Linked DNA regions of Schizosaccharomyces pombe. The protein of the gene in region 1 interacts with the protein of each later gene in a pairwise test. Each region holds a gene or a part of one and is shown on either strand. Other genes may lie near its edges. The genes, in order: ppk15 and dca7.

Region 1 (4,848 bases):
TGCTTCCTTGTCGCAAGCAATTATCTGCTTAGCAATTAATAATCCGAAAAAAATAATCGTTTATTTATTGAAAGTTTTAATTGTCTAAATATTGATGCTCTTGAGATGTACATTTGTTAAGAAAATGAATTAAATTATTCTAACCCCTCCCCCGAAAAAAAAATGAAAAAATACTAAAAAAGATAATGATTATGGAAAATTTTAAAGGAAAAAATTTGTTTCCGCAGCGCTACTCTTGATTATTTCGTAAGACCAAGTAAACTAAATATAAAGCGTTTTGTCTTAAAAAACTATTGCAGTATAGAATGTTTCCTCTACTGCAAAACAAAATCCATACAGCTAGCTCTTAGGGTTATCAATTAGGGTTATTGAAGCCATACATTTTACCTGATCACTGTTTATGGCAGCGATCACAGTCATGTTAAATTACGTTACAAGTCGGTATTTAGCCACGTTCCTTCAACCACTTAGTCAAAAATGGATCGCATTTCTGCTCAAAAAGATATTTTCAAAAAGGGTATGTCCCTGTAAAACTATTAATTTAACATCTTTTAGTCGTCAATAAGGAAAACTCTTCCATTTTCGTGAGTCTTGGCGTATTTGCAGTTTCTGTAGCCATCTTGAAATCCAGACTGGGAAACTTTTTGGTACCACAATTGTAAATGGATGTTTGAATTTCACGGACTAAACGTCTTCAGCTTTGGATTCAGAAAAATATTACTTCATAACGTTGTATGGTTGTTTCATAAATAAAATGAACTCCCAGTTTCAATAAAGGTTCAAAGCTAAACAACATATATCTTTCATGAATATCATTGTGCTTTGTAATTTTTGTTAGCGATCTAAAATTTGAAATATTTATGTTATCTAGTGTCATGCGAAGTACGTAGGAGCATTAGTTGGTAGGAACATTTTTACATATAAGCTAGTTCGATTCTGATATCTTGCGTCTATTTATGTTTCCTTAGATGTTTGAAGTCAATAACCAATATTCGTCCATTCACTACAGATTTTTGTGTGAACATTGGACTAGGAACCATTTCGTTTGTCGTTTATGCGAAAATTTTTATGTACGAATGTAGTCGGCGTGGAGAATGTTTTAACAACGACTCCTTCATTTACAGATAGATGCCAAACAAGAAACGTTTTTCCTCCTTTTAATATCCAACCGGTTACATGGTTGTGCAACATCCAAATATACTAAGTATGGAGAATATCCGTTTTTTCGAAAAATTGCTACTATTCTGAATTAAGGATGCGTACTATTGGTAAACATTGCGCTTGATGTTTCGAATAAGCCTTTCAATGGAAGTTGTTTCTTATTTATCGCGGTTATTGGTATAGACGGATGTTTTGCACCAAATTCATTCGTCTTTTCAAATACGAATTGATTTCGTTGTGGAGAGTAAGAGCAGGAACCTTAATGTAAGCGAAATTATCGCCTTCTTAAGTCATGTCACGGAAACCTGAAACAATATTTAATTATTTAATTGGGATCTAAGATCCAACTATTTAATAATATAAGAATCAAAAGATCCTCTTCTAGTAACTTTTTCTTGTATTTTTTTGCAAGCCAAAGTTTTAATGACGGCCTTTTAATTCATTGATACACTCTATTACGTAATAGATTGAAAATCAGTAAAACTGATTAAGGCATAGCAAGCAATTGTACTTTATTTCAGTCATCGTCAGCGCCGTTACACGCGGCTCACTACAAAGCGGTGTGTCGTCATCCCTTTCCTTCAGATTCCTCTCTATCCTTTAACCAAGCCGCTTTTTTTGGTTAAATCCTTCATCTTTCAATAAATTGCGAAATCTCTCAGTGTTGTTTTTCGTATAAATTTGTAATTTATACGGTGGAGTTGATTAGTTATTCGTTCAACTCGCACTGTGCATATTTATCGGCTTATTTTAGTGAATATTTTCGATTTTCTGCCGAATATTATATTTGTATTTGTAGCTACACGCTATAAACAAGAAAATTAGAAGATTCCTCCAAATTCATATTTTAAGCTTCATATCCACAAGTGTTTCCCTTTGTTCCAGATCGAGATTATCGTAAGCGAAACTAGCTCTTTGTCAGTTGTTCCATTAAATTGATTAGCCGGTTGGTGCGTTCATTTCAAACTCTTTGACTTTTTTCCTTTAAAGCACTTCTTTTTTAGATTCCTTTGGTTAATCTGTCAACTACTACTTTGTAAATAGTATAACTTGTGGTTCCTTTTTGCACTGTTGTGCATCGACTCACGTTCCAAGAGATCACTATTTTACGTTACTTTAAAGTGATTCGAGTGTGAATGAAGGCACTCGTATTCTGCCTATACTGATATATTCTTTGCAATACTTTACAAAAAGGCGTCTCTATTCATATGGATTCGGATTCGCCCATTCTTCCATTATCGAACAATCCTCCTGCTGCGAGGACTCATGATCACTCGCAGCGTAATAATCATGCTCGTCATGTCTCGTCTTCTGGAACAACTTTGTTTGCTCCTGTCAAACCGGCAACCAAGAAATACAATTACAGAAGGGTGTCTCCCCATGGAAGCTATATTAGCGTACGAAATTTTTTACTTGCTCTGCATTTTACTAATTAAACATATAGCCCTTAGAAGCAATGACTGTGAAACTAGCTGATACATATTCAATTTGTAATCCAAAATTCCAGTTTTCTTCCGAACAAAACCCTCGGAGACCACTCACCAAACCCAGTGAAGGAGTTCACAACCATGGTTTTGATAACGTCAATCATGATTATGTATTGTATGTTAACGATTTGCTAGGAACGGATGAAGGCCGTAAATATTTGATTCTCGACACCCTGGGGCATGGCACATTTGGTCAAGTTGCTAGATGCCAAGATCTTAAAACCCAACAAATTGTAGCTATTAAAGTTATCAAAAATAAGCCGGCATTTTATAACCAATGTGTGATGGAGGTTTCTATACTAGAGCTCCTTAACAATAAGTACGATCCAGAAGACAAGCGCCATTTAATTCGTTTATATGATCAATTTATGCATAAAAATCATTTGTGTCTCGTTTTTGAGTTACTCAGTATTAATCTTTATGAGCTTATCAAGCAAAATCAGTTCCGTGGTTTACATTTAAGTCTTGTTCGTTCTTTCGCAACGCAACTTCTATCGTGCACATCTCTCCTCAAACAAGCTCGAATCATACATTGTGATCTAAAGCCGGAAAATATCCTGTTGCAGGATTTATCATCACCGATTGTGAAAGTGATAGATTTTGGTAGTGCTTGTCACGAACGCCAAACAGTTTATACCTATATTCAATCGCGATTCTATCGCAGTCCGGAAGTAATTTTAGGACTACATTATAACTGTGGAATTGATATGTGGTCTTTGGGATGCATTTTAGCTGAACTATTCTTAGGTCTTCCCTTGTTCCCTGGAAATTCCGAATATAATCAATTATGTCGGATTGTTGACATGCTTGGTAATCCTCCCACTTGGATGTTAGAAATGGGTAAAAATTCGAAGAAATATTACAATTCTGGTTTTGTAAACGGTAGAAAAACTTATGAGCTTAAATCGATCGAACAGTTTTCTATCGAAAACAACAAAACAGAGCAACCTGGAAAACAATATTTTGGTGAAAAGACACTCGATGCTATTGTTTTAAATTATCCTCGCCGAAAAACCACACCTAAGCTTACTCCTGAAGAACATGAAGAGAGACTTTGTTTCATCGATTTCATAAAGCAGTTTTTAGAGTTAAATCCTTTGAAGAGATGGACTCCTGACCAGGCGAAAAATCATCCTTTTATCACAGGTGCCTCTTTCAGTCAATACTGCATTGACAAACAAAAACCACTGCTTACAACTCAAAGAACGAGGAACCGTTCTCATACTATTGGAAATCAAGCGGTGGTTCCTCCTTCCTTACAGCGTGCAAGCACTTATGTTTCCAACGAACCTGAAGAATTTGTACATACTCGACCGCTGCCTCAATATTATCCTCCCGCTAATGAGAACGAAAATGTAGATGAATTTTTCTAATGTCATATTTTACGTATAGAAACATTCAAATTTATTTAAAATATTTAATAGGCATGATCCATTCCAAATTTTTTTTTTATGTTGTACCAATTTTCTAATAGCTTTCGTAAAACGTTTTCAATTTTCATAAAGCATTCAAACTTTTGATGATATATACATACTACGAATATTTTCAAAGTTCCTTCGAGGCTTCAATATGCAGTTTTCAATAGTAAATAGTATAAAGCATTTACAAATTTAACGCTATATTTAGCGCTACGGTAAATACTCTATGTAGAGAGGTTTTATACTTTTATGTAGTAGACATTCACAAATCGCCAAAATGAAATCAAGTTCACTTGAAAATGGGACTCTTGCTAATGCGGGTGTTTACGAAGATGATCTAGATAGCGACGAAGAATTGGTCTCAGAAGAAGAATTTGAAAACTTTAATAATGAAGATTCAGAAGACGATGAAGACTCAAACAACGAATCAAAAACAGCTAAAAGTCGTATGTTAAAAATTCTTTTATTTTCTTAATTAATATTTACTCACAAATTTGAAGAGTTAGCTGAGATTCCGTTTGATACATTGTTGAATGCTCAAAGGGACCTGCTTAAAGAACAGCAAAAAACAAAGATAATGACAGAAAAAATATGAAACATACTGAGAAAGTTGACAAAAAATTTTTGGCGAAAGAAAGAAACACGCCCCTCAAGAATTGTCAAGTAAAAAACCAGTTTCTCGTTTTCGCGAAGTAATATCTGAACCAAAAAAATTTACTCGTGATCCCAGATTTGACTCTTTATCGGGAAACTTAAGTAAAGATAAAGTGAAAAAAAATTAC
Region 2 (4,439 bases), on another chromosome or scaffold:
TCGACTACGCCACTTAGTCTCTCGTCCAAGGGGTCAGCCTTTGGATTTTTGTACAACTCTGCACTTTTATGAATAAACATATCAATACATTTGAAAATTAGTGTTTCTTTGTAATCACTATTTTTGTCATGCAAAAACTTTGGACCACTTGACAAGGCAAACAAAAGAGCCTCATCATATTCTCCAAGGTAATAATAAACTTTTGAGACTACCAAGGCTGCTAATTCGCGTTCAGGAAATGAATGGTCCTCATACATAACCTCAATTTTCGTAACATCATCCGATATTTCCGGCCATAATTGATCAATAAACTCATAAATTTTTAGTAAAGCATGTACTTGTAATTCTCGCTCTTGCTCGTCCAGCAGGGCCATCAAACCACCTATCAAAAGGATTAGTGAACATGATTTCTACATTTTTTCATTGTTTAACGCTCGACGTACCTGCTGACGTTATAATAGAGGTGTTATCAGAGTACACCATAGTCATTTCGACGAAACTAGACCTGTTTATTTAAATCTTACAAACTATATAACAGCAGGTGGTGTTTCGTTGTTGGTAAATACCCTGAACCGTTGTGCTTCATTCCACCAACACATTCGGTAAGGGTAGGGCACTTGTACCAATAAATGTTTCAGGTATATTAAATGTAATGCTATATCATGTTATCCACACCACACCACCTAAATAATATTCAGTATTATCGAAAAAAGTCAAATTGTATGTTTCATCAACTATGTAAGATATCTCAACCCAATGAGGGATTTATATGAGTATCGTATCAAAATGAACGAACTAAGTAAAGCTATTCTGATCGTTCTATAATATGATTCTCATTGCCTTCTTATCATTCGCTTTTAGTATCGATAAATTTATAGTCTTTAGCTTAACAAAGTAGCTAATTTTTGTCGAATTTTTTTTTTAAAGCATTATAGTTGTTTGACTTCACAGTTATACTTTCATTAGTATTTTTTGATAGTATATATTACGCTGGGATCATTCGTTTAACTTGCAGTACGTATCAATGCCTAGTACAATATTACTTTACAAATACAATGTAATATAACAATTATCATGGTTCAGTAGCTTTGCAAATGAACTGTTTGATCAAGAAAATTTAATGTATTTCATAATTTTTCTCGAAGTCAATTCTATCAGTAATGAAATAACTAAGCCACATGGATGCGTCCAGAAATGATATCGAGGCCTTCCCATGCCACAATGTTTTTGGCTTTATTAAAACCACTGTTTTTTATTGCTGGCATGTTAATTGAATGGACATTTTTCGATGTCGTCAAACTGGAAGCAAACAGAAGCTAAAGTAACCCGAAATGTATTTTGTTAAAACATAACTATCTTAACTCTAAATAGATATAAAAAATTCTGTGTTTCACGCATACAATGATATTAATGTATATGTAATGATACCTTAACGGAAGCGCTGAGTACGGGATCAAAGGTCAATCAACAAAAAAGGGTGAAGCAATTGTACGCAGTCGCTTCTTTTAATTTACTAAAAAATTATTGAATAGGAAAAAAATTACAAATATAATAAAACAATTCTTCATTTTTGCGTTTTCGCTTTGCAGCCGGTATTCGCTGTTTGCTTTGTATTGAATATACATCATAAGTGGGGCGCTTACTTACTTTATCCCAATATCCACACTTCGCGCACAATGACAGATTTACGTAGAAATAGGTATTCAATATCTGCTGGCGTTGGAAAATCAGTACTTGATTCACTTGGCAAATTCTACGGATCGCCCAAAAGACAACTGCCTAACAAATTTGAAGCGGGAAAAGAATATACTGGATACAATGCACCGTGGATTCCATTTGCCTTGGATTGGTTAAAACAAGGAAAATATTCTAGTGAATGGATTGCTATGGGAAGTTTGAATGAAGAACCAAATAATATGGTATGCTAATTGCAAAACCAGGGGAAATATTATATAATTTTATCTGTGCTTCTTTTGGCATAGACTCCAAAGATGTACTCTGTTCTACGAAGTTACTAACCAAAAAATTGTTTAGATACAATTGTTAAAACTAATAACTGGGGATGATGGAAATTCTCACTTGGAAAAGGCGCAAGCAGCAACTGATCTTGAATACCCAGTTACGAAGTTGTTATGGAATCCTTCATCGGTTGGTTCTAACACCGACTCCCAGTTGCTAGCTTCTACGGATCAGCAATTGCGATTATGGAAAACCGATTTTGAAGCGGGGATTGATTCTCCTTTGTTATGTCAAGCCTCTTTATCTACCGTATGATTTTCTTTTTTCTTCTTGGCGACTAATGTTATAGCATGTAAAAACTCATAATAATGCTCCTCTAACTTCGTTTGATTGGTGCAAAACTGATCCTTCATATATCGTAGTGAGTAGCCTTGATACCACTTGCACAGTTTGGGACATTGTAGCCCAGCAATCAAAAACACAATTAATTGCTCACGACAAAGAAGTTTATGACGTTGCGTTTCTCAAGGACAGTATCAATGTTTTTGTTAGCGTAGGAGCTGATGGCAGCGTCCGCATGTTTGACTTGAGGTATGCGATCCACAATCGGCAATTGGATTTTTCCTTTTGACAGTAGTTTGTTAACTTTCTTTAGATCATTGGATCATTCCACGATCATATATGAGGGCGATAGCACCTTTTGGAAGAGAAACGGTGACTATACAAATGCTTCTCCTCCTGTCTCAGCTCCTTTACTTCGACTTTCTGCTTGCGATTCCGATGTTAATTTAATGGCAACTTTCCACCATAATTCTTCTGACGTCCAAATGATTGACATCCGAGTGCCGGGAACTGCTTATGCCACTTTGCGTGGACATAAGGGGGACGTGAATGCGGTTAAATGGATGCCGGGCTCTAAATCAAAATTAGCCACTTGTGGGGACGACTGTGTCGTTTCCTTATGGGATTTGGATCAGCCAGTTAATCCTTCCCCAGCTCCAACGCTGAGTGTATCTGGAACTACACCTGGTATGACGGGCTCGACTTCAGAATATGTGACACCCGTTTCGTCGGTGAATTCTATGCGTGAGACGGCTTCTCCGTTGAATGCTGATAACCAGTATTCTCCCTTACTATCTTGGAAGTTGGAACACGAAGTGAACAATCTAAGCTGGTCTGTAAAAAACGACGGATTAGCGGTTGTTTACGGAAAGTAAGCACTTTTGGAGTAAAATAAATATTAACATCTTTTTTTAGATCCCTTGAAATACTGAAGGTCCCTCAATGATCTAGATTTTGTGATTAGTGTTGTTTTACGCATTTCAATTTAAAAAAATTAAAAAAAAATTAGATTATGAATGCAAATACACTGAGGAATAAATTTCTTACGCTTTTTTCATTTGCTTAATTACTTTGTCAAGCAAAGCTAGTTAGGCATTTTATGTTGTCCTTCGTTGTCTTCTTGTTAACTATTAATAAAATTCAAAAAAGTTATGTTTGTTTTTGAGAAAATTTGGAAATAGAACCCTATGAGTTGCGTGTTGAACTATGGTTTTTTCAAATCAACTACATGTCTTTCGGAAACTTTTGGCAATTGGGTTTGCACATTCAAGCGCAATGTTTATGCAATTTCCACTTTCATTTGCGTATCTCAGCAACGCTGGAAATGTACAAAGCTCTAGGGCGATACGTGTTTTCAAATGATAAGGAGTCAAGCAACTTTTACAGAATTTTTTTAATTTAGCTTTCTACATCGATTAAAACTTTGAATAGTCTTATTCTATTATTGTTATGAAGTGAAATCTCTGTTTGTTAAATTAGTGCGGCAGGAGCTTAAAATACTTTACGTTTTTTGATTAATGAAGCAAATTTACCGCAAAATGTAACACATGTGGAATTGTAAACGATTTGATAAATCATAAATCAGAAGCCATGGCTGATTACTACAAAAAATCAGCTGCATGCTGTGAATGCGATGCATGGAACACAAAACACATTAAGCGTTACATCCATATGTGTAAATGAAAAGAGATAGGGATTACCTACTAGTAAAGAAAATATTAATGCTTTTATTATGGATTCAATTAAATAGCAATTAGTAACGATTTTGTCATAACTAACTTTGATTTGACAAGTACAGTGACACATAGATTTTTTAACTTCGTTTAACTTCGCTTGTATTAACGTAGCATGGTATATTAGCTTAAATTTACTCTTGTCGTTAGCTACCACACTAAAATAGATAGTGATGATCATAACAGCTAAGAACTGCAGTGCAGTATGAATTCGTTAAGAAGCAGTCAAGAATTCAGTCACAGAAGACTGCTTTGTGACGTTGCTTTAATACTTATAAAACGGAACTTTGGTATACAGCTGGGCAAGACTCTGTTTACAAAATCTATAGTCATGTTTCCGATAAATAAAAACGCGTAATTCCTGATTTACGCGATGTTCAAATCCTAACTGAAGTCTCCACGCGT

What was found.
Region 2: the proteins of ppk15 (region 1) and dca7 interact in a two-hybrid assay, tested with the Schizosaccharomyces pombe proteins (one large-scale study listed by BioGRID).

What each region holds. Positions count from the first base shown.
Region 1 is NC_003424.3:2,583,386-2,588,233, forward strand, and holds ppk15 (serine/threonine protein kinase Ppk15), read left to right. Parts: upstream 1-1,787; 5' UTR 1,788-2,369; coding exon 2,370-2,558; intron 2,559-2,605; coding exon 2,606-4,021; 3' UTR 4,022-4,089; downstream 4,090-4,848. Other genes in the region: tom6 (uncharacterized protein), read left to right, coding at 478-517, 556-662.
Region 2 is NC_003423.3:3,322,353-3,326,791, forward strand, and holds dca7 (WD repeat-containing protein), read left to right. Parts: upstream 1-1,650; 5' UTR 1,651-1,676; coding exon 1,677-1,919; intron 1,920-2,034; coding exon 2,035-2,268; exon of another isoform or gene 2,269-2,288; intron 2,289-2,308; coding exon 2,309-2,550; intron 2,551-2,575; exon of another isoform or gene 2,576-2,614; coding exon 2,615-3,172; intron 3,173-3,216; coding exon 3,217-3,247; 3' UTR 3,248-3,659; downstream 3,660-4,439. Other genes in the region: proteasome regulatory subunit Rpn2, read right to left, coding at 1-382, 444-489.